Caenorhabditis elegans: one gene and its partner. The protein of the gene in region 1 interacts with the protein of each later gene in a pairwise test. Each region holds a gene or a part of one and is shown on either strand. Other genes may lie near its edges. The genes, in order: cpl-1 and nepr-1.

Evidence for each region.
Region 2: the proteins of cpl-1 (region 1) and nepr-1 interact in a two-hybrid assay, tested with the Caenorhabditis elegans proteins (one large-scale study listed by BioGRID).

What each region holds. Positions count from the first base shown.
Region 1 is NC_003283.11:16,591,302-16,598,801, reverse strand, and holds cpl-1 (Cathepsin L-like), read left to right. Parts: upstream 1-3,455; 5' UTR 3,456-3,456; coding exon 3,457-3,714; intron 3,715-4,190; coding exon 4,191-4,289; intron 4,290-4,830; coding exon 4,831-5,278; intron 5,279-5,846; coding exon 5,847-6,055; 3' UTR 6,056-6,230; downstream 6,231-7,500. Other genes in the region: srh-269 (Serpentine Receptor, class H), read left to right, coding at 6,760-7,054, 7,104-7,288. UniProt on the Caenorhabditis elegans protein: Cysteine protease which plays an essential role in the degradation of proteins in lysosomes.
Region 2 is NC_003279.8:8,395,835-8,401,735, reverse strand, and holds nepr-1 (Transmembrane protein 188), read right to left. Parts: upstream 2,819-5,901; 5' UTR 2,731-2,818; coding exon 2,679-2,730; intron 2,606-2,678; coding exon 2,534-2,605; intron 2,478-2,533; coding exon 2,416-2,477; intron 2,367-2,415; coding exon 2,227-2,366; intron 1,670-2,226; coding exon 1,567-1,669; 3' UTR 1,231-1,566; downstream 1-1,230. Other genes in the region: T19A6.4 (Transmembrane protein 144), read right to left, coding at 235-322; ngp-1 (Nucleolar GTP-binding protein 2), read right to left, coding at 3,285-3,377, 3,449-3,760, 4,094-4,804, 5,043-5,147, 5,750-5,901.

The DNA of each region.
Region 1 (7,500 bases):
CAAGCCAAACAAAAAACCAATCTCAAACTCCAAAATCTTCCCACCATCACCCCATCCCTTCCAACCAGATGTTTCCAGACACCCCATCACTTCCAGATGTTCTACTTTGACCCCCCCCCCCCACCTCTATGATCACCTGATCTTATCTTGCCGGCCGCCTGCCACAGTGTAATATAAGAGGGTCCATCATCACGTGCACATAATGTGTCTTACGAATATTCTCGATTGTTCTTCGAAAACGAGACCCCCTCTTTTTGTGAGGACTATAAAACGGAGCCGAATGAGTGGACTATTAGTTTGTGGGGGACTCTTTGGTCCTCACAAGGAAAGGAAGTCAATCTAGTATCGGACTTTAAATTGAGACGCATGTCATTTGAAAGCTTATGTTTAGACTAGATCACCACAAAAATTTTAGCGGCGGAACTCAACTCTGAACCCCTGAAAGAGCCATCTGAAAGTGCTCCAGTGCATTTTTTTGCTGAATTCTAGGTCAAGTAAATGGCCTTAAAAGTGGCTATGAGCGGTTAAAAATTGTTTTTGGGGGTCTTTAGGGTCAAACAAAGGATGTGGAAGCTTTTTGGAAATTTTTATTTTTTTGCAAAAAATCTGAAATTTTTGCGGTCCAATGGAAGCCAAATTTTTGGTCAAAAAAATTTTTTTTTTGAAAAATTTTCAAAACTATTTTTTTGTATCGGGGCATATAAAAAGGTACAAATTTCTTCCAATTGAGCCCTTTGCACCGAATATGAGGTGGTTTTTAAGCTTAAAAATTGCTTCAAATATGTAATGGATGTACCTTTGAAAACGTTTTTCTTTCACAAAAAGGTCCGAAGCCATATTCAAACCTTCAAAAAGCATCGGTGCAACATATTACATTACCCAAACACAAGCCATGCTCCTACTTTCGGTCAAATATATGGGACTGGAAATTTTGAGTTCGAAAGTTTTAAATCCCAAAAAAAATTTTTTTGAGATTATTCAATTAAATGGTTCCTTGGTTCACATGCAATTAATTTTTACTAAATAAAATGTTTAAAAGTTAGCTATAAAAATTCAGGGCGCGATTGCAATTTTTAAAAATTAAAAAAAAAATTGCCACTGAAAGAATCGAACACGAGACCTTTATTCCGTTTTACCAAGCATTTACCATTTGGCCATCAATCCCTGATTTTTATTGTTTTCAATGTTTTGAACCATTTTATAAATATTGAAGATGATTTTTGTATATGTAAAATGAATAAATACGAAATAGTATTGAAAACTAGGAGGGCGCAGAGAAAAATTTTCAGATGGCGCTTTCAGGGGTTCAGAGTTGAGTTCCGCCGCTAAAATTTTTGTGGTGATCTAGGCTAACCATAAGCTTTCAAATGACATGCGTCTCAATTTAAAGTCCGATACTAGATTGACTTCCTTTCCTTGTCAGGATCGATTTTTGTTTTACGACACATTGCTATTATCTCTGCCAACAACACATCGTTTAACTAGGTTTACGAGTCTTTTTGAATATATGTAGATGGATATTGTTTTGGTTAGAAAACCTGTACTGAATGTTACTGATATAATTTTTCTTGAGGCCAGAAATTTCATTTTTGCCTTCGAAATAAAAACTGGAAGTTTAAGTATTTCTATTTAAATATGTCCAAATTAAAAAAAAGTTATTTGCATCTAAAAATTTACTGAAACTTTACACTTTTCTCCCGAAAAAAACTTCAATATTCAGTTCTAAATTTCTGAAAATTAAAATTTATTTTCTGAAAACGTCTGAAATTTCAAACTTTTCATATAAAAATGACAAAAATTTTAGAGATTCCTGTGCAAGAATGTCTGAAGTTTCAAAGGTACTTATTAAAAATTCTTCAAAATCTGAATTTCCATATTGAAATTGGCGGCATTTTTATTTCTTCCATGTTTAGAATTGTATGAACTTATGAAATTCTATTGAAAAATACGTAACGATTTTCCTTTCCCGTCTGAAATTTAAATTTTTATGTGAACACGTCTCAAAATCTGAATTTCTTATGGGAAAATATCTGAAGTTTCAATTTTTTTTTATTTGAAAATAAATTAAATTCATTTTTTTACGATTTTTTAGGTGCTGAAACTTTGAATTTTGTATCGAAAAATGTCTGAAAGTGAGAACTTCCAATTATAATTTTTCTTACATTTTTCTTGTTAGTTAGTTGAATTTTGAGTTTTTAAATTACTGAATTTCGAAATTCACGTGCTGAAAGTTATAAAAAACTTCATACGAGTTACAGCATTTTTTGAGATTTTGAAATTTCCAAATTTCGAAATCTCTTTTTTTCCCTATTTCCCCAAGATTAAACAATTGTCGATTTCAAAAAATTGCTTAGAACATCTCAAGTCTGCCATTCCCCACTCCAAAAAAAAAACAGGTTCCCATTATCATTCCTTATTCCCGTAGATTATCTCACCGTCTTCACCAGGTATCTTATCAATAGCTGGATGATTATGTAATTTCTTGCTGATGACATTTATTTTCTCGTTTTTCATTCCTAAGTTTTTTGTTTGGAAATCCTTTAGAATGCGAAACAATTTATTTACATTGTTGGCCACCTGTTAAAGTGACCTAATTGTTTGTTTGTTTTCTGTCCTTTTTCCCCCTGTTTTTTCAAAGTTAATTTTAAAAAACTTGACTCACTTTGTAGTTTGACCTTTGCTAAAAAAGCAGCCGACATCAGTCAAGGACCACTTATAAAATTTTGAGACATTGCTTTTTGGGGCCCAAAATCGTTAAAAACTACCGAATTTCGTAATGAAAAGTTTTGAAAATTTCTGGAAAAAAAACCGAAAAAAAAGTTCATACTTCAAAAAGAGCAAAATTTGATGGAAGTTTCTGTTCCTAACGTCAATAAAACAGTAGAAATTGACACAAATTGCTGGAATTTTGCGGTTAAACTCCAATAATTGACACTTTTAAAAGGCGAACAATTTTCTCGGTTTTGGAAACATTTCTAGCAAAACTGGTAGTTTTCTAAACTTTGGGGGCACTACAAACTACAAAAACCTTAATTTTCTGTATGTTCAATACTTCAAGAAGTTCGGAAACTTCCGCTCGAAAACTTCCGTTTTTCGAAACACTTATCCCTGATCACATGCTTATCTGACTTAACCCTATTATGATAATCATCCAATTTCTGTACTATTCTGAGCTCCTAGCACCGGAGCAAGCACTTTCACCCCTAATTTCCCTCTATTATCAGTTGACTGATAACCTGATGGTTTGATCGCTCTCTGTTTCTCTCCGCCTCTCCATCTCTCTCCTCACACTCGTCCTGGCACTGATTGACGCTGTCCCCGCCTACTTTAGGATCCTTCATAAACTCGCCTCGGGAGGTGTTCATTGTAGTTCCTATTCCATTTCCATATTTTTTCGTGTTTCCCCTGCTTTTTGTAGAATTTTCAAATTAATTTTAAATGTTATAAAATTCCAGAATGAACCGATTCATTCTTCTGGCACTGGTTGCCGCCGTCGTCGCCGTCAATTCGGCCAAGCTGTCCCGTCAAATCGAGTCGGCCATCGAGAAATGGGACGACTATAAGGAGGACTTTGATAAGGAGTACTCGGAGAGCGAGGAGCAGACCTATATGGAGGCATTTGTCAAGAATATGATCCATATTGAGAATCACAACAGAGATCACCGACTCGGAAGAAAGACATTCGAGATGGGATTGAATCATATTGCTGACTTGGTAAGAATATGCATTTCAATGCACCATGAGCTGCGGCGTCCGACGTTTTGAGCTCCGGGGACTCAAATTCTGGCTCCGAGGACCGAAGTCTCTAGCTCCAGGGTCCCAAGTTTTGAGCTGCGGGGTTTCAAAATTCAAGCTCCGGTTCTTAAGTAACGAGCTCCGGGATCACAATTTTTGAGCCCAAGGATCTCAAGTTTGGAGCTCCGGAGTCCCAAGTTCCTAAAGCGAGGATTTTCAAGTTTTCCTTTTTTGCATTTCCTAATTTCGACAGATAAGAAAATAAATACCCCCTATAAAAACTTCAAAAAGCTGTTCTCTGTCTCGTTCCACTATCAAAATCTCACCCAGCGAGAAAAAAAAAGATAAAGATATGAAATCCTCGTCTCGTGACTGACCAACAGCTGGCTTATCACACCACCACACTGACAAAACACACGAAGGTCATTTGATTTTCAAACTCTTGTTTTTTTCAGCCATTCAGCCAATACCGCAAACTCAACGGTTACAGACGTCTCTTCGGTGACTCCAGAATCAAGAACTCCTCCTCTTTCTTGGCTCCATTCAATGTTCAGGTAATTTTTTGAGAGGGGTTTTGTTGGGGTCCAGACACTAACTTTCTCGTCGATCAAAACTATAAAACTATTTGCATAAACAAAAACGTTTTCAACGACCGATAAAAATAATTCTTCGCTGACCGTATTTTTTGAATTATCATCTCTGATGATTGATACGCTTGAAAATTGAATTTCGCAATGTTTTGGTCACCGAAATGTTTAAAAACAAGATTCAAATGGTTAGAACTGTTTTTGCTGAAATTTGAACACCAGAGCTTAGAGCTGTGATGAACTTCTAGGGGATAAGCCTAAGCCTGAGCTTCAGTCTAAGCCTAAATCTAAGCCTACGTCTAAGTGTACGCCTAAGCTTAAGCCTCAGCCTAAGCCTCAGCCTAAGCCTAAGCCTAGGCTTGAAACTGATTGTGAGTTGATGGATTTGGCTCAGTCCAGGAAGAAGTTTGGTCTATGCCTAAGCCTTAGCATAAGCTTGAGCTTCCCAAGCTTTCGGCTAAACCAAACCCTCAGCTTAAACTCAAGCCTAAACCTATTCAATTTTCAGGTCCCAGATGAGGTTGACTGGCGTGATACCCACCTCGTCACTGATGTCAAGAACCAAGGAATGTGCGGATCGTGCTGGGCCTTCTCCGCCACCGGAGCCCTCGAAGGACAACACGCTCGCAAGCTGGGACAACTCGTCTCCCTTTCCGAGCAAAACCTCGTCGACTGCTCTACCAAGTACGGAAACCACGGATGCAACGGAGGACTCATGGATCAAGCTTTCGAGTACATTCGTGACAACCATGGTGTCGACACCGAGGAGTCATACCCATACAAGGGACGTGACATGAAGTGTCACTTCAACAAGAAGACCGTCGGAGCTGATGATAAGGGATACGTTGACACCCCAGAAGGAGATGAGGAGCAACTTAAGATCGCTGTCGCCACCCAAGGACCAATCTCTATTGCTATCGACGCCGGACACCGCAGCTTCCAACTTTACAAGAAGGGTATGTTTTGTGGGAAGATGTGAGGGGGGGGGGGGTACTAGTTTTTATTGACGGGTCAGTTTTATTTGCATTTTGGATGATAATGATAAGAAAGCTAGTTACTCGGGTTTTTCATCAGAGACAGAGAGGGCAATAGTGATAAGAGAACTCGTGTTTTTGAATGATACCCTCTTGACAATAATAGTTTGGGTTCGAACTTGAATGTGAAAGTGGTGAAGGAATTTATAAATTGTTTAGTAGCAAAGTATAACCCCATCAGCCTAGGCCAAAGTCTAAGCTTAAGCTTACGATTAAGCCTAAGCCTAAGCCTAAGCTTACGCCTAAGCCTAAGCCTACGCCTAAGACTAAGCCTAAACCTAAGCGAAAGCCTAAGCCTAAGCCTGAGCCTAAGCTTAAGCCTAAGCCTGAGTCTAAGCCGTAGCTCAAGACTAAGCCTGAGTCTAATCCCAAGCCTAGCTCATAAGCCTAAGCTTAAACAAATGCCTAAACCAAAGCCTAAGCCTAGGCCTAAAACTAGGCCTACAGCATAAACTCAGCCTAAGTTCCACCGAATATCATCCATTTTCAGGAGTCTACTACGATGAGGAATGCTCATCCGAAGAGCTCGACCACGGAGTGCTTCTCGTCGGATACGGAACCGACCCAGAGCACGGAGACTACTGGATTGTCAAGAACTCGTGGGGAGCTGGATGGGGAGAGAAGGGATACATCCGTATCGCCCGTAACCGCAACAATCACTGCGGAGTCGCCACCAAGGCCAGTTATCCATTGGTCTAAATTTGAACTTAATAATTAATTTTTTTTTTTGGAAAATTTAATTGTAGCCCCGAATTGCAATTCTTTGACTCTTTTCTGTCAAGCTTTACCTCGTTTTCTGTATTTTTTTGGAATTTCTCTAATATCTATAATTATGTATTTCAAATTGTGGTGTACATAAACGATTTTTGAATTTAGTTTTGCATTTTTCTGTCTTAAAAACAAGTGAGGAAATAGTAAGAGCATATAATTAGCTCGTAACAAATTTGAATTATAGTTTTCGTTTTCGCTTTTAATTCAGACACCAAGTTGTGACGTCCTTTTTAGCGTGTCTACGCCCCTGCCTGCTTGCCTAGTCAATCAAAGTCCCCCACGAAAAATTAAATAAACATTGCAAAGCAGCGGTTGTCGATTGTTAACCCTCTCTCATTACAAACATTTGCCGCCGCTGTACACCGCGGTTCCATGGTGTAGCGGTTAGCACTCAGGACTCTGAATCCTGCGACCCGAGTTCAAATCTCGGTGGGACCTATGCTCTTTTTTCGCAGTTTCTAACCTCAGAAAGTAGACTGATGTTCTTTCCCAAGGGGTTCAATTTGCACGTATTTTTCAATAATTATCCACCTCTTTACTTTTTCCCCTCGAATTCATTCTATGCGTGTTATTCATCGAGCTATAAGTTTCCCTGCCTCTCAAATATTTTGTTTTAAACTTTTAATCTCAACATGGACACCCCAAATTTTTTGTCTACTTCATTACATATAATGTCCTGCGTAGAGGTCCCCGTGCACATTTTTGGAGCATATTGTATTCTGTGTAAAACTCCGATTACTATGAAATCAGTCAAGTGGTCAATGTTAAACTTACACTTTTGGAGTGTTTTTCTTGACTTGACAATTAGTATATTGGTGATTCCATATATATTGTTCCCAGCAGTAGTTGGTAGATCCTTAGGATTATTGGAATTTGTTAAAGTTCCTCAAAAACTCCAGCTTTATCTCATCGTATCCCTGTTTCCAAGTGAGTTGTGCTCTTTGTGCTCATTCAACCGGAACACTGCTTGTTTCAGCGGTCGGAGTTTCGATCACTACACTTCTCGAAAATCGGTACTATCTGATGTTTGCACGCTTCCGGAGATGGAAATATTTTCGGACTCCGTTCCTTACCAGTTTATATCTGGCGTCAGCGTTCTGCTTTCTACCTTCTTATTTAATGATTCCTGAGCAAGAGGCAGCGCTCGCGGAAGTTTTAGAGGTAAGTGACTATAAAATAATGACAAAGGAAATTGAAAGTGCATGATATAAAGATTTAAAATTAGGCCTAATGAATCCGCGCTGAAACAATGAAATTTGAGTGTTAAACTGAAAAATTCCATCAAGTGCATTTGTGTCATTTTTGTCCATTATTCTCCAATCCAAATAGGGACTAAAAAATGTATTTCTGCACCTTTTTTCAATCTTTGCACC
Region 2 (5,901 bases), on another chromosome or scaffold:
TGTGTTATAATCATTAAATACCAACTTTTTAAAAATTTGTGGCTTAAAAAATTTTCCATTTATTTTTATGTTTTGAAGTTGCTTCAATTAATTTTTTCTAAATATTGCAGGTTCTCGAACTTGTCTTCAAATTTTCCAGAATAAAGGATAAGACTTATCCGTCTTAATGCATGCCTACTATCATTTTGTGCGAAATAAAATGCCAAAAGGATTTTAGAAACGTAAAAAACTCACCATCACTTGATGGAAATCTCTTGATAGGTGCAAAAACAGATCCGAGAGTAAAAGTGGCCGTGAGACATGCCAAAATTCCAACAATCATGGTTACAAAACGACAATTGAAATGTGGCTGAAAGTTCAATTAAATAGGAAATATATGTCATAGAGGGCGGACAAAAGGGAGTCTGGTTCAAATGGTTAAACTTTTGAGGACATTATTTACATAAACCCTTAGAGAAATAGGAGCACAGTTCGCAGTTTTTGAATGTGGAAATACAGTTTTGAAATCATTAAAACATGGAACAATGTATATGAAAATGTAAATTTTAAAAGAAACAAGTTGAAGTAAATGCATTTGTTTGAATACAGTAATATTTTAAATATTTACTCAAATAGTAAGTATGTATATATATATATATATACTTTGAATTACAATGAAATACGTTTTGAAAAACTGAAAAAAATCATACAGCCAAGATAGGGGCGGTCCAATCTTGACATATTATGTGTGAACGGTGTTTTTTTGAAATTCTAACAGCTGTTTTTAATGAACCAATCGTAAATAAATTATGTGTGTTGATTAGTAATATCCATCGATTTCTTCACATTGTTCTGGCACAATCCATTCGTGTTTTTGCCAGAATTCAAACGGTTTATGCTAATTTTTTGGTTAGAGACTGCAAATTTTCAACCTCAATTCTCAACATTTTCAGAGAACAATCATTTGGAATTATGGAAGAATATTACTTGTTCCCTATATAATTCATTTATTTTTCGTCAGAATCACTCATCAGTTTACTATTCGCAAGTTCATCGAAACATGTTTTTCCATCGTACTCTTCAAACCGAATAACTTTCCAAAGAACAGTCTGAAATAGTGAACCTTTGGGGGTACCGGAATAATTGAACATACATACAAAATTTGAACTTATAGCAAACTTATAGGACCTAGGTCCTATAATTTGAAAAAAATCAGTGTTTCGTGCTAATCTCCCCAAAAAGACAACGAGTTTTTATAAAAATTTACTGATAAAAAACAATATTACTTAGATCTCCAGAAACATGAATGAATACAATAGCACCGTTGTAAATTCGGCTGTTTCTAAGAAAAGTTGAATTTTTTGAGCTATTCGAGTCACGAAATTCAAACAAAAAACACGACTCCATGAATGGGCGGGGAAATAGGAAAAATAAATACAATTTGAATCACCATATTTTACACATATAAGTCGGAACAAGAGAAAAGTAGGAAACGGTGGCAAAAATAATCAAACTACGGGAGGAAAACCTCACCAAGATCAATTATTTTTTAATGAAAGAGAATCTTGGGTGTACACCTCGATAGTATTATGGAGCAGAATTACGAACTGCTGGCTTCACAATGAGTTTCCCGTTATGATCACAACTCAGACTGAATGGAGACAGAGCATCACGACATCGGCGAGCAACACTGAAAGTATTGCATTTGTATTTTTATTGGAAAGGTAATGTCTGAGCGGTTTTGTGAGCAGATAAATTCGGAAAAGAAATTTTAAAATACTTGAGTTTTGTACTATGGGGACGCTACTTTCCGAAATCGACGTGAAAAAGCTCCGCCCCCAAACTATGGGTCTCATTAGGAATTTGGCGGTAAAACGTCAATTTAGGCGTTTTCAATTAGATTCACCAATTTCAGAAATTTTCAGGGAATTTTCAAGAAATTTTCGTTATGTTCTCCGGTGCTTTTTAATGATTTTTATTCCGAAATTGTTGCAATTAAATTAATAATCGAGCGAAAAAAAATCATATTCAACATTACAACCTAAAAATAATTTCAAAAGACGAAACATGCTTGAAAATTGGTAAAGAAGTCTTTTATAGCTTTTCCAACAATATATTAATTATAAATATATTTTCTGAATGTTTCTCCGCCATAAGCCTAGCTTTTTTCGAGATAAAAACCTACGATTTTAATATAAATTCAAAACAAAATTTTGCCGAGAAAACTTCTAAAATCTTTAAACTCACATCGTGGGTGCAACAATTCTCCTGTGAACACCAAACACGGCAAACAAGAGAAGACCGACGAAAAAGCAGAGAGTAAAATCGAGATGAGTGGTGAGAAACATGTCGATCATCGGAATTTGGAAGATTTCAATTTTCTGTAACTAGAATATTCATGTTTTTGAGTTTTACAAGATTTATCTAAACACTTACCTCATTGGCAAAATATTTCGAACCGATGACGCCGACAAGAACCGCAAAGATGACGATTGCGACTGAAACTGTGAAAATAGGCATAAAATAGGCATGTTCCATTGGCTAGACAACTTACTTCTCCATCGAGTACATGTTGGTCCCATATATGTGATCACTTCTGTTAGCCGTTTTTCAAAGAATTTCAGATCTGGAAAAATTAAAATCAATACTTTGAAAATTCACAACAATTCCAATTCTAAAATACATAAATTCTTCCTAACCTTCGCATGCCGTCGATGGATCCTCGGGCATTCTTCTGGCCTGAATCGCCATCTCTGGTGCTGTTTAGTGATGTAACTAAATACGGACAGAAAAACGTTCGGCTTTAATTCGACTTCTCAATCAGTATTCTCTCGATTTTCTGAAATAATATATATGTATTCCCACAGAACTAAAAATATTTTTAGGAACGGGTAGTTTTTGAAAGTCATAGACATTTTCTGAGAAGTCCAAGTAATAAATTTTTGGGAATTTTTTCATAACGCGTTTTTCAAAAAATCAGAACTAGTTTCAAATATTCAAAACCACCGTTCAATGTTCTTTTAAAATATCTAAAGAGTATGTTAGTCTTGTAAAAACCCAATAAAGTGTTAGAAATATCAAAATAGGAGATCAAACCAGAAAATTATTCAAAAAAAAATCCATAAAAATTGACAACAAAATTTCTTCATTGAAGTGGTGAACGTATTTTGAACAAGTTATCAGAAAATGGTTTACAGAACGGGAAACAGTAGTCAACAATAATGATAAAATGAAACGAAAAATTAAAACAGAAAAAAAAAACTTTAACAATAAAAGGGATTAACAAAAAAAAACAATGAAGTCATCTATTTCTGATGCTTGACCTTTCGTCTTTTCTCCAACTTCTTTCTCCACATGTTAGTCTTTGTGGCTCCTGGTTTCGCGAATTCGACGACGCTCTAGAATTTGAAAATTTAATATTTTACCATTGAAAAACTTTGAAATTAATGCATCAAACAATTATTGTTACCTTGTCCTTCTTTTCCGACGCGGCCTGAACGATAGTCTTTCCGGATAATTTAGCCTTATTCGCCTTCTTTCCTCCACGCTTTCCACGTGTTCGTACGCTCGCCACATCAGTCTTTGATTTCTTTGTCTTAGAATCACTGGACGATGGCTTTTCATCATCATCGGCCACATCATCAGCATCTGACAAGTCTCCAGCCAAATCACTGATTCCAGAAAGATCTGTGAGTCCAGAACAGGTTGATCCAATTTCTGTCAGTTCTTCCTGTTCTTCATCGTCAATTGCTTCGTCATCATCCTCATCTGGACCTCCATTCTGAAAAAAAATATTGTACTTTGGTATTACAGGTGGATTTTTGCTTCAAAAAATTTAAAATTGTCTTAATTTCAGAAATATCAGAAAAGAAAAACGAAAAATCGGGGAATACAACTTGAAAAACACTTTTTTTTGGCTAAATTTCCAGTTCGAATTTCTTGCAGGAGGGAATTCAAACAGGTAATTTAGCGAGTTTTGAAAATTCGAGTTTTTACTTGGAGTTTTCAGTCTTCCTCGATTTTTTTCTGATTTTCTATTATGGCATATCTGAATTTAGGATTTTTGAAGTAATATACTTATTCAAGCTTCACAGTTATTTAAAAAAAAACTCACTCTTGCCACATCATCAAGCTCGAGTTGAGCATCCAAAGGCAATTGCTCATCGTCATCAGCGCACATTTCATTGATTGGTGCTTGAGAAAAGTCCTTTTTAGCTCGCTCTTCACATCCTGGCGGAGGTACAAAGTATGGAAGCTTTCCTCTCTGGAACTCATTGAGCACAACTTTAGAAACTGCAACAATATCAGGATCTCCTCCTTTCAACAAACGTCCTTGTTTGATAGCAATCTTCGTGAGAAAATCGTCAACATCTGTGAATTCTGGAATACCGTATTGACGGCGAAGATGTTCCGGTTTGCATCGATCTAAGACTCCTTGAACATGATTCTCCGGATCCTTGACATTTTCGACACGAACAACTCCTTTCAGAATAATCTGTGTCTCTGAATCTCCTTGTGGATAGACAACTCCTGGAGAGTCAATCAAATAGATTCTACGCATCAACATGACATATTGCCAAACTTTGGTTTCTCCAGCAATCGGAGCTGTTTTGCACACTTTTTTCTTGCGGAGTGTATTCACAAGTGACGATTTTCCGACATTCGGATATCCGATAAAACCGACACTGATCTGTGGACGGTCTGGATGAAGTTTTGCAAATTGACGAAGAAGATTGATAACTGCTCCTTTTCCAAATGAGTTATTGATTGAAGCATGGAAGGCAATTGTAGGCATTTCTTTTGACAATTCTCCGATCCATTTTCTCTGAAATTAAATTAGTTATGGTTGCGGTTAAAGATGTTTCTTTTTTTAAAAGTTTTCTTCGAACAAAAGTGAGCAAAAAATCTGCTAGTCTGTCGTTTACTTCAAAAACATGATTTTTTGTTTTTCCGATATTTCGAAAAATAGCCCATATTTTTGGCGCAAATACTTTTTAAATTTCGAAAAAAAAATTCGCTTAAAATTTTTTCGGAACTTTTTCCTAATTGTGAAATGAACTCACCGTAACCCAAGTTGGAACAAGATCGACCTTATTGATAACAGTTACAAGATGCTTGTGAGGCTTTTCCTTTCTCAAAAACTCCTCGACGTGTCGACAACGAGTTCCCTGAAAAAATTATGTTGTTTCCGATTTTTTTTCCTTAAAATACTCTGCATAATGGCAACATTTTCTATATCAGCAAAAGAAAACGGAGAAGTCGTAAAACTTTTATTGCCACTTTTTTCTTTTTAAATTTCTCTATGAAATACGATGATTTTTGCGTCCTGCACTCACCTAGCGGTGGCGATAACGAAAAAATAAAATTTCAGAATTCATCAGTACAAACAAGCTTTCTCTTGTTTTTTTCTTTCTTTTTCATATTTTTTGTTGTGCACGCTGGCTCACAAAGAGAAAGGACGACTAAAACGGAGATGAAGTGGGGGAGAAAAAAAGAAGAACAAGAGGCGAAAAAAAGCAGGAAAAACACTAAACTTGTGAACGAACGTTATGTGCCTTCTTTCTAAGTTGGCAGACAAGAATATACCACGATTAACGCTTTCTCAGTGACTTTTTTGTACTCATGAGTGCCGTAGTTTTTGAAACTTTTGCGTTGAATATTTGAAAATTTGGTAAAATCGTAAAAAATTGGAAACTTCTATAAATGGTTTAAAGTTAGCCTCATAACCTTTATTTCTGTGAAAAATCTCCAATTTATCTAATTTCCTTACCATTGGATCTCTGGCATCAACGACTTGAACAACGACATCAGACGAGTCAATAACCTTGTAGAGCTCTCCCCAAACTCTGTTACTCTGTCCAGCACGGAACAATGGATTCATGTTTTCTGGGCGATCTCCAAGCTCCTTTTCTCTGCTCAGAT